Linked DNA regions of Rattus norvegicus. The protein of the gene in region 3 interacts with the protein of the main gene of each other region in a biochemical or structural test. Links are inferred from orthologs where the notes say so. Each region holds a gene or a part of one and is shown on either strand. Other genes may lie near its edges. The genes, in order: Adrb1, Fchsd2 and Magi1.

What was found.
Region 1: the proteins of Magi1 (region 3) and Adrb1 interact in a test that uses a peptide from one of them, tested with the Homo sapiens proteins (2 studies listed by IntAct). The link is inferred for Rattus norvegicus from reciprocal best matches to the Homo sapiens genes MAGI1 and ADRB1.
Region 2: the proteins of Magi1 (region 3) and Fchsd2 form a complex in vitro, tested with the Homo sapiens proteins (2 studies listed by BioGRID and IntAct, with this or other methods). The link is inferred for Rattus norvegicus from reciprocal best matches to the Homo sapiens genes MAGI1 and FCHSD2.

Annotation. Positions count from the first base shown.
Region 1 is NC_086019.1:265,775,669-265,779,412, forward strand, and holds the start of Adrb1 (beta-1 adrenergic receptor), read left to right. Parts: upstream 1-1,434; 5' UTR 1,435-1,689; coding exon 1,690-3,090; 3' UTR 3,091-3,744. UniProt on the Homo sapiens protein: Beta-adrenergic receptors mediate the catecholamine-induced activation of adenylate cyclase through the action of G proteins. This receptor binds epinephrine and norepinephrine with approximately equal affinity.
Region 2 is NC_086019.1:165,087,219-165,090,862, forward strand, and holds part of Fchsd2 (F-BAR and double SH3 domains protein 2), read left to right. Parts: intron 1-51; coding exon 52-181; intron 182-271; coding exon 272-354; intron 355-3,644. UniProt on the Homo sapiens protein: Adapter protein that plays a role in endocytosis via clathrin-coated pits. Contributes to the internalization of cell surface receptors, such as integrin ITGB1 and transferrin receptor.
Region 3 is NC_086022.1:128,365,346-128,369,089, reverse strand, and holds the start of Magi1 (membrane-associated guanylate kinase, WW and PDZ domain-containing protein 1), read left to right. Parts: upstream 1-863; 5' UTR 864-1,455; coding exon 1,456-1,768; intron 1,769-3,744. UniProt on the Homo sapiens protein: Plays a role in coupling actin fibers to cell junctions in endothelial cells, via its interaction with AMOTL2 and CDH5. May regulate acid-induced ASIC3 currents by modulating its expression at the cell surface.

The DNA.
Region 1 (3,744 bases), on a different chromosome or scaffold from region 3:
CAGAGCATTACATAACATTATATAACACGACCGTGCACCCTTCCCTTCAGAGACAATTGGGAACTGTTTGCTTCTCAAGAACTTAATTGCAGATTTCCTTCTTATGGCCCGAGGTGGAGGCATTCCCAGGGGGCAGATCAGAGGACCACAGCCTGAGGTTCATCCTCAGCTTCCATCAGGAGTGAAGTCAAACACTCTAGTTTCAGATTCACTCGACAATGTGAAGGGGGAAATGCGGCGTGACTTTAAATGCTTTCCGATTTAATCGCCTCGCGTATTTATATATTTTCTTGCTTCCCAAAGCTCTTCCCAAAGCTGATCCCGCAATTTTGAGAATCTAGCCACCCTACCAAGAAGTCTGAAATCCCAGTTCATGACGTCAACCAAAAAGGGATAGTACCTTGTGTTGACTCAGCTCAGATTATAAAATCCCATGGGTACCAGAGTACAAACGCGGGTGTTAAGGTGTTGGTACTGGAGTCAAAAAGTCTGAAGCGTCATTCTCTGAGTTCTTTCTAGGCGGGGTGGGGGTTGGGGGTGGGGCGGTGTCATTTACTCCGGACTTAATGTTGCCCTAAACTTCTCCTTTATACTCAGAACTCATCGCATCCTTTTCCTTAGCTGGGATTGGGAACTGTGTGTGTCCAACTGGTCCTTGGCGTTGGCAGTTACAGCCACAAACCTTCCCTTCCTTTCCCCATCCACTGCACTTGAGGGAGAGAGAGCACAGCTCTGCGCAAGAACAGCGCCCAGAGAGCCTTTCTGACAGATGCGCACTCTGCTCCAGCAATCCGCCTGGCTGCAAAGTTTCCTCTAATAACTAACACCCACTTCCTATTCCCCAAGCTGTCATTCTGGCCGGGTCCCCTCGCGATCAGGGAAGAGCCAGGCTGCCTGATGGCAGAACCAGTCTCACAGCTAAATTCCCCAATCCCAGCAGATAGGCTGTCCAAGGCATCTCCGGAACGCCAGCAAGTTTCCCTTCTAGCTACCAGGAACCATGCACTAGAGGTAGAAAGGCGAGGGCGCTACGGGGCGCCGAAGGGAAACGGGCGCTCTTGCGGGAGCGGCAAAATGAGAGCTGGGTGCTAGGGCAAGCGGACACCACTTGGGCGGTGGGGGTGGGCACAGGAGGCGGCGGGGCACCGCAGAGGGCGCAGCAGACCAGACTCTGGAAGAAGCCTGAGCAGGAAAGGGCGCGCTCGCTGCAGCCCGTGGGTGCCGGCTGCGTAGTCCACCCGCAATCTTTGGAGCCTTTCAATCGCGGTAGGAGGGGGTGCTGGGTGTTGGGGGTGGGGACACCATTGTTCGGGGGCGTGCCTTGGCGACGATTGGCTGCGGGAGCCTGACGCGCGGCCCCGGGGGCTGGCTGGGGGGTAGGGAGCGAGGTGGGGGGGAGGTGCTGGGTGTTGGAGCCGCCGGCCCCGCGCGCTCAGAAACATGCTGAGGTCCCGGCGGCTCTTCCAGCAGCGACAGCGGCTCCAGCAGCAGCGGCGGCGGCGGCGGCGGCGACAGCGCTTGGCTACGGAGGAGAAGGCGCCCGGCGTCCATGCCTCCGGCCCCAAGCCGCGGCTGCCCTGACCTGGCCGCGACCTCCCCGCGCGGGCCCCGCAGCCCCGGCTCCTGGGGTGCTTCCCAGGCGCGGCCCAGTCCCGCCACACCCCCCGCCCCCGGCCTCCGAAGCTCGGCATGGGCGCGGGGGCGCTCGCCCTGGGCGCCTCCGAACCCTGCAACCTGTCGTCGGCCGCGCCGCTGCCCGACGGCGCGGCCACCGCGGCACGACTGCTGGTGCTCGCGTCGCCTCCCGCCTCGCTGCTGCCTCCAGCCAGCGAGGGCTCAGCGCCGCTGTCGCAGCAGTGGACCGCGGGTATGGGCCTACTCCTGGCGCTCATCGTGCTGCTCATCGTAGTGGGCAACGTGTTGGTGATCGTGGCCATCGCCAAGACCCCGCGGCTGCAGACGCTCACCAACCTCTTCATCATGTCCCTGGCCAGCGCCGATCTGGTCATGGGACTGCTGGTGGTGCCTTTCGGGGCCACCATTGTGGTGTGGGGCCGCTGGGAGTACGGCTCCTTCTTCTGTGAGCTCTGGACTTCGGTAGACGTGCTATGTGTGACGGCCAGCATCGAGACCCTGTGTGTCATCGCCCTGGACCGCTACCTCGCCATCACGTCGCCCTTTCGCTACCAGAGCCTGCTGACGCGCGCGCGAGCGCGGGCCCTCGTGTGCACAGTGTGGGCCATCTCCGCGCTGGTGTCCTTCCTGCCCATCCTCATGCACTGGTGGCGGGCCGAGAGCGACGAAGCGCGCCGCTGCTACAACGACCCCAAGTGCTGCGATTTCGTCACCAACCGGGCCTACGCCATCGCCTCGTCCGTCGTCTCCTTCTACGTGCCCCTGTGCATCATGGCCTTCGTGTACCTCCGGGTGTTCCGCGAGGCCCAGAAACAGGTGAAGAAGATCGACAGCTGCGAGCGCCGCTTCCTCAGCGGCCCGCCCCGGCCGCCCTCGCCCGCGCCCTCGCCATCACCAGGGCCACCGCGCCCCGCAGACTCGCTGGCCAACGGGCGCTCCAGCAAGCGGCGGCCGTCGCGCCTCGTGGCTCTGCGAGAGCAGAAGGCGCTCAAGACACTGGGCATCATCATGGGTGTGTTCACGCTCTGCTGGCTGCCCTTCTTCCTGGCCAACGTGGTGAAAGCTTTCCACCGCGACCTGGTGCCGGATCGCCTCTTCGTCTTCTTCAACTGGCTGGGCTACGCCAACTCGGCCTTCAACCCCATCATCTACTGCCGCAGCCCCGACTTCCGCAAGGCTTTCCAGCGCCTGCTTTGCTGCGCGCGCCGGGCCGCCTGCAGACGCCGCGCAGCCCACGGGGACCGGCCGCGCGCCTCGGGCTGCCTGGCGAGAGCTGGGCCGCCGCCGTCCCCCGGGGCTCCTTCGGACGACGACGACGATGACGCCGGGGCCACCCCACCCGCGCGCCTGTTGGAGCCCTGGGCCGGCTGCAACGGCGGGACGACCACTGTGGACAGCGATTCGAGCCTGGACGAGCCGGGACGCCAGGGCTTCTCCTCCGAGTCCAAGGTGTAGAGGGCCAGGCTCTCCGGGCGCACGGACGCCGCTCCCCATAGTCCCGGGCTGGACACGGGCTCTGCATCCCTAGAGGAAGAGAGCCCGCCTGGGCGCCCCTGAGCCGCTCCCCAGGGGAGAGAGGAGGTTTCTGTTTACTCAAGACCGAAAGCAGGTGAATGCGAAGCCCACAGATCTTTTGAATCATCCGAGACGTACAGAAAAGCCCGGGACCGAGCGTTGCGCAAAAAGGAAAGTTTGGGAGTAGTTGGGAGAGTGTGGCTTAGTGTGGCTTACTGGCTTGTCTTGAGTTCCTTTCTCTCTGAGGTTCGGCCTTTCGTGTGTTTAATGCACCTTTAGGCACCCCCCCCCCGTGGGTTTTGACACTTTCTGCAAGGACCCGAGTGGAAACTAGGAGGGGAGGGGAAGGGGGAGGGTGGAGTCTATCACCTGGCCTTCTGACTTCACACCTAGGAACCTAAGTGTTCAGCTCTGGTTTGGGGTGGGGGCAGGAGCGGTGATAATTAGCCAGGAAGTGTTTCCTTTTGCTTTCTAAAGAAATTGCATATTAATTCCGGAGTATTGGTGTCTCCTTAAAGCAAAGGGGGGAAAGGTGGCTGAGAAACAGACCAATCTGGTTTCGAGAAACTATTTGTGGAGCACGGTTCACCTTGC
Region 2 (3,644 bases), on a different chromosome or scaffold from region 3:
AAGCTCTCCTCTTGAGGAGGCCACCTAGTAACTCTGCCTCCTTTGCTGCAGGTCTCTCCATCCCCCAAGCCTCACACATCCCTGCCTCCACTGCCTCTGTATGACCAGCCTCCCAGCAGCCCTTACCCCAGTCCAGATAAGAGGAGCTCCCAGTTCTTCCCCCGGTCTCCTTCAGCCAATGGTAAGAGTTCTGGGCAGCTGCCCCTCACCACTTACTTCTACACTGGCATCTTTACTATCCCATCATAACCTCTTGGATTCTCTCCCTCAGAAAACTGCCTTCATGCTGAGTCACCAGGATTCTCACAGGCCTCAAGACAGACTCCTGACACCTCGTATGGCAAGCTGCGGCCTGTAAGTCTCCCACCTTGAAGGGTTATGGATTACATAGTTCTTCCAAACTGAAAATGATTTATTTTGCCCACATGGTCCATTTTGCTATTGATCTGCCATGCAGTGCTTTGGGGAAGTATAAAGAACTGTAAGAAAGAAAAGCTATATTTTTGGTTGTGAGTCCAGCCTTTAATGGTTGAGCCATGGCTTCCCAGTACATATGCAGTAGAGGGCTGCCTTTTCTTGCCTCAAGATATGCCTAATCCTACAGAGACTTGATACACCAAGGTAAGGGTGTATGGGAGAGGCACCCTCTCAGAGATGAGGAAGATGGTGGAGGAACCCTGTGGCAAGTTACCAGGAGAAGGGGGCAGCATTCGGCATGTATATACATAAATTTTTTAAAGGAAAGAAAGAATGAAAGAAAACAAGAAAGAAAACAAAGGCTATAAAATGAGCTGATATGGTGGTGTATACCTTTAATCTCAGCATTCAGGAGGCAAAGGCAGGTGAATCTCTGAGTTCTAGGCTATATAGCAAATCCTAGGCCAGACCCTGCCACCGCCGTGGTCATCGTCATCGTCATCATCATCATCATCATAGGTGTTGGAGAGATGGCTTAGCAGTTAAGAGCACTTGCTGCTATTGTAGAGGGTCTGAGTTTGGTTTCCAGCACCAGCATACAGTGTGGCTCACAACTGTCTGCAACTCCAATTCCAGGAAGTCCGGAAGGCTCTCGTCTGCCCTTCTCGGGAGCCAGGGATGCACATTACATATGGTTGCATACAGACAAACGTACACATAAAGTAAAATCATTTTTTAAACTCAGTTCACATCCCAGTCACAGCCCCCACTCCTTCCTCTCTTCCTAGTCCCACCTTTACAAGTCTCTTTCCCATTGCCCCAAGAAGGGAAAAACCCCTCCCTTGGGTACTGCCTCACCCTAGGACATCTGGTCCCAGCAGAACTAGACATGTCCTCTCCTACTGAGGCCCAACTAGGCAATCCAGGTAATCAGAAGGGGATCCAATGGCAGGGAACAGAGACCAAGACTGCCACTTCTTAGGGGACCCACATTCAAACCAAGCTGCACATTTGCTATGAATGTGTAGGGGCTCTAGGTCCAGCTCCTGCATGCTCCTTGGTTGGTTTCCCAGACTCTGAGCCCCCATGGTCCCAGGTTAGTTGACTCTGAAGGTCTTCTTGTGGTGCCCTTGACCCCCTCTGGCTCACTTGTATCTCCCACTCTTCCACAAAACTCCCAAGCTCCACCTGATGTTTGGTTATGGATCTCCTCATCTGCCTCTATCTGATGTTGGATCAAGCCTCTCCAACAGTTAAGCATATACCTAAGCTAAGTTCCTGTTTGCAAGCATAGCAGCGTATTAATAACAGTATCGGGTTAGCTCTCTCATTGTGTGGGTCTCAAGTTGGGACAGTCATTGGCTGGCTGTTCCCTCAGTCTCTGCTCCATCTTTATCTCTGCACATCTTGTAAGCAAGACGGATTTTGAGTTGAAGGTTTTGTGGGTAGGTTGATGTCCTCTTTCCTCCTCTGAAAGACTTGCCTGAGTACAGGAGGTACCCACTTCAGTCTCAGTATCTCCCACTAATAGGATCTGAGCTAGAGTCAGCCCCATAGACTCCCTGTATCCTCTCCTGTCCCAGGCTTCCAGAGAGTCACCAGAGATAACCTCAGCTATTTCCATTCTCAATCCAGCCATCTCCCACCTCCTTCTCTTCCCGTACCTGATCACCATATCTGTTCCCCTCCTCTTCTACCCATTCCCTCTTCCCATCCACCTCTGATGACTATTTAGTTTCCCCTTTTGAGTAAGATTCATGCATCTTCCCTTGGGACCTCCTTACTACTCAGTTTCTTTGGGTCTGTGGATTGTAGCATGGTTATCCTGCATTTCATGGCTAATGTCCACTGATAACTGAGAACATACCACGCATGTCTTTCTGGCTCTGGGTTACCTCACTCAGGATGATATTCTCAGGTTCCATCCATTTGCCTGTAAAATTCATGATGTCTTTGTTTTTAATAGCTGAGTAACCTGTTATGTAGATATACCACAGTTCCTGTATCCATTCTTCAGTTGAGGGACATCTAGGCTGTTTCCAGTTTCTGACTATTACGAATAAAGCTGCTATGAACATAGGTGAACAAATGTCCCTGTGGTGTAGTGGGGCATCTTTTGGGTATATGCTTAGGAGTGGTATAGCTGGGTCTTGAGGTAGAACTATTTCCAGTTTTCTGAGAAACCACCAGTTTGATTTCCAGGGTGGTCATACAAGTTTGTACTCCCACCAGCAATAGAGGAGTGCTCCCCTTGCTCCACATCTTTGACAACATGTGCTGTCACTTGAGTTTTTGATCCTAGCCTTTCTAATAGGTGCAAGATGGAATCAATCTCATAGTCGTTTTGATTTGCATTTCCCTGATGACTAAGGATGCTGAACATTTAAGTGTTTCTCTGCCATATGAGATTTCCCTATTGAGAATTCTCTGTTTAGCTCTGTACCCCACTTTATAATTGGGTTGTTTGGTTTGTTGTCTAATTTCTGGAGTTCTTTATATATTTTGGATATTAGCCCTCTGTTGGGTATAGGGTTGGTGAAGATCTTTCCCTAATCTGTAGGTTGCCATTTTGTCTTACTGACAATGCCCTTGCCTTACAAAAGTTTTTCGGTTTCATGAGGTCCCTTTTATCAATTGCTAATGTTAGAGCCTAAGCCATTGATGTTCTGTTCAGGAAGTTGTCTCCTGTACCAATGTGTTCAAGGCTATTCCCCACTTTCTTTTCTGCTAGAGTTTATGTTTAGGTCTTCGATCCACTTGGACTTGTTTTCTCCATGGTATAAATATGGATCTATGTTCATTCTTCTACATGGAGACATCCAGTTAGATCAGCACCATTTGTGGAAGATGCTTTCTCTTTTCCATCTAAGGTTTTGCCTTTGTTCAAAAGTCAAGTGTCCATAGGTGTGTGGATTTGTTTCAGGGTCTCTGACTGGATTCCATTCATCAACCTGCCTGCTCTTATACTAATACCATGTAATTTTTATCACTATTGCTCTGTAGTATAGCTTGATGTCAGGGATGGTAATACTGCCAGAAGTTCTTTTCTTTCTCAGGATTGTTTTAACTATCCTGGGTGGGGTGTTGTTGTTGTTGTTGTTGTTGTTGTTTTTGTTGTTGTTGTTGTTGTTTTTCCATATGAAGTTGAGAATTGCTCCCTTAAGGTCTGTAAAGAATTACGTTGGAATTTTTGTGGGAATTGCATTTTATGGGAATCTGTAGATTGC
Region 3 (3,744 bases):
GAACTCATTGGAAACCACTGAAAAGTAAACGAAACCGCTAGGGCCACTGCTGCACTAGCCTCTTGGCGGTGGGGGCTGTTCTTTCTGTCCCAGCCTCTTCAGCGCTGATTACTGCACCCAGCCTCTGGGCGGCGAATTCCGAGGTGGCCGGCGCGCCCACACGTGTGCAGGACCCGCACCCTGCGGTGATCTTTACTCCCCAAAGCAGTCCTTAGGGTTCTCGGCTCTCCCAGAAGCTAAAAGGGGCTGGCCGCTGCCGCCCCTTTGCTGGAAGGACAATGAGAAGTCTTAGGTAGAAGACTCGCTCACCGACAGTTTTCTCCTTGTCCTAAAAAGTTGGCCCCAAAGTTTAACGGTGGGCGCGGAGAGAAATGCAGAGGGTGCGTGGGTCTTGCTGGTTCGGGTCCTCAGCGTCACACAGACAAGAGCCAGGCTCCGCCATGTGGACTTGAACCCCTGGGCCGGGAGCAGGCGCGGAAATGAGGCGGAAGGCAGTGGGGCCGCGAGAGAGATGGCGTGGCCACCGAGGGCGAGGAGGGAACCTGGCTGGCAGGCAAGAGTGTGAGCCCCCCGCCGAATTGGTCTCCCAGCCCCCACCTGTTTGAAAGGATTTGTTAAGCACCAAAGCCACATTTCCTGCGTTACGAGAGCTGGAGTGGGGCACGCGCACGTGTTCCCCAAAAGGCTCTGGCTGGGCCGACGGCACAGGAAAAGTAGGAATTCTAGGGGTGCAGATACAGGAGCAAGTTGGCGTCAATGGAAGGTCGGCCCTAGGACCCCGCGGGAGGCGCGTTGGAATCTCTCCCTTCCAGGAGGAGGGGTGGGGCGGGCCTGCCCGCGGGCGGCCGCCGAGCGCATGCGCGCGCGCCTCCTATCCAGCCGGCCGCCGCGCTCCGCCGCGCGGAGTAGAATGAACTGTAACAAAACAAGCAGAGCCTTTGTATCTGCTTAAAGGGGCCGCGGCCACTTCCCTCGCGTCCCCTCACCCCCGCCCCGCGCCGCCGCGTCTCCAGGGCTCCCGGCAACTAGCTTGGAAAGGGCTTCCCTCGCGCTGAGGAGCGGCCGGCGGGCGCGGAGCAGGCGCGGCGCGTGTGGAGAAAGCTGCGGAGCAGAGAGCGGGCCCGGGCGGCGTCGGAGTGGACTCTGGTCCCGGGAGCGCGATCGGCGCCGGAACGCGGACCCGGAGGCACCGGAATGCAAACAAAGCTCGCGGGCGCCTGTGCAGGGCTCTCAACGGAGCCCGGAAAGTTTGTTTTATGATGGCTTGAGAGCGCGAGAGAGTCGGGCGAGGAGGCTCGAGTAGCTCGCTCCCGCGCTCCGAGAGAGAGATGCTTCTCCCGTGAGCCCGCCGCTCCGGGGGCTCGTGCTGTGGGGGCACCTGTCTCTCGTTTTAGCAGTTTTCCTTTTTTTTTCTTTAATTTTAATTTTTCTTTTGAGGAGGGGCTGTAACTCATCATGTCGAAAGTGATCCAGAAGAAGAACCACTGGACTGGCCGCGTTCACGAATGCACCGTGAAGCGGGGACCCCAGGGCGAGCTGGGGGTGACGGTGCTGGGGGGCGCGGAGCATGGGGAGTTTCCGTACGTGGGGGCGGTGGCGGCGGCCGAGGCGGCGGGGCTTCCCGGCGGTGGCGAGGGACCGAAGCTGGCTGAAGGTGAGCTGCTGCTGGAGGTGCAGGGGGTCCGGGTGTCCGGCTTGCCCCGCTATGACGTGCTGGGAGTCATCGACAGCTGCAAGGAGGCCGTCACCTTCAAAGCCGTCAGACAAGGTAAGACGGGCGTGTCTTTGGGGGGGCGCACCCCGAAGAAGAGGGGAGGCCTGAGGGGGCGCCGTTTGCTCCGAGTGCTGTGAGCCAAAGTTGAGGCCCGGGCCAGATGAACTCAAAGTTGTGCGGTTGTGGGCTGCGCGCCCACCTGCGTGGCGGCCAGGGGCCGGGGTTGCGCCGGGAAGCGGGGAGATGCTTCCCAGGCCTGGTTTGCCAACTTCTTGTCGTAGCCACCTAGTGCTGCGCAGCTTCGTCTGCACCTTAAGGCAGATGGGTAACTGAGGCAAGCTAAGGTGGACGCTTTCCACAGCCCCTTATGGGATAGATGAGCTCACCGAGCTGGTGGCTTGCCATTGCTTGTGTTCCCTGAACTGGAGAGTGGGTCGTGGAAAGGGAGGGTCTATTTATGGTTGACTGGAATTCTTACTTCACAAAATTGCCTTCACCCTGCAAGCCCTCCAGGTGAGGTTGGGTTATGACCCCCTAGAGTCCTTAATCTAGCCGCCTGCAGAGCCTGCATTCACCCCACAGCGGGGTGACGTCTGTGTCTCCTCCTTGTGGAGACCTACGGTGGGGGAAGGGGTGTTTAGCTCTTGGCGCGAATCTAGTCCAAGTTTACCCAGCCGCCGCCTCCCCTTGCACTGTCGTCCTTATTGATGATGATTGTTGAGAGATTACAATTCATTGTTAGCGTGCTATATGAGAGGCTCTCTGTAAAGTGGTTTAATTGCATTATCTCATTGTGATTCACAACAATGCTATAAGATCGACTTGTTTTTGTAAGTCCTATATTACAAAAAGTAAGCCGGAGCTGACCTAGGTAAATGACTTGCCCAAGGTCACACAACTACTAAAGTGTATGGGTCTTTTCTGTTAAACCTTGAGCGAGGAGGAGGAGGGCTTGAGGGGATGACTTAAGGGGCCTGAGTTTTGGGGTGTGTGTGGGAGAAGCAAGGCCTCTCTTAGAAGTCTGTAGGGTAGGGATGGCTTTCTAAAAGACGCATTTGATGACTCCCTCGCAGTTTGGTCTGAGCAATGGTCTGCTCTCTGTCTGGCTACCGGAGCATAGCTGCAGTACTTAAAGGCATCCCTCCTGCACCCGAGTGCTGTGACGCAGGTTCTCCCAGATGAAAGCACCAGAGGAGGTGGCAGAGTTGAATGTGGTGAAAAGTTGCCATATGTTCCTGTCAGGATGGCAGCAGCTGAAGGAAACGTGTCAAAGGAAAGCCTGGGAGAGCCAGCTCTCTCCAGCAGCAGGCCTCTTCCAGATGACCTGAGGATGAGTGCAGTATTGTGTGTGGTTAGCCCAGTAGCCCGGACTTTCTACCGTGTTGGGAGCGCAGAGGCTGACACCTAACAGTGGAATGTCCTTATCTTGCTGCTTGGCCTTGTCTGATGACTATGTCCTTAGGAGTTTCTCCTAGGACCGTAACCCAGGAAGTGTGCACAGCAGTGCTGGTTCACAGTAAGTGCTCAGTAAAAGTGAGTTATGGTTGTATGTTGTATTAGAGTTGAATTTAAGCAGTTAGGAATTCAGTTTTTAGCTAGGAATTTAGTGCCAGTTCCCCGGGTGATAATGACTTGGTTAGGGCTGTTGAGAAAATACTGTGACAGGCATTTATTTATTGGGGGGTAACATTGGGTTTGAGTTCAGGCTCATTTTGCAGAAAGATTTCTCATCCAGCAGGATGTCTGGGTGGTGGTTAATGGGTCCTAAGATCTGTTGGCCATGGGCAAGAAGCTGCCAGAAGCTTAGCTCTTCCTTCCACTGTTTTGCAGAGATCCTTGATGCTGGCGCCTTCCCTTCTTCCCCCAACCCTCTGTCTCTCCTGTGAGCACTCGCCCTTCATTGGTGGAACTGGGGGAAAGATGCCTGTGGATTTGACAGTTACTGTAGTGCCTTCAGGTGTCGGTTCCTACGATTGGGACTGTCCTTTGCCAACATCCTTGTAATAGGCTAGGAGTGGCCTAGTGTGGAA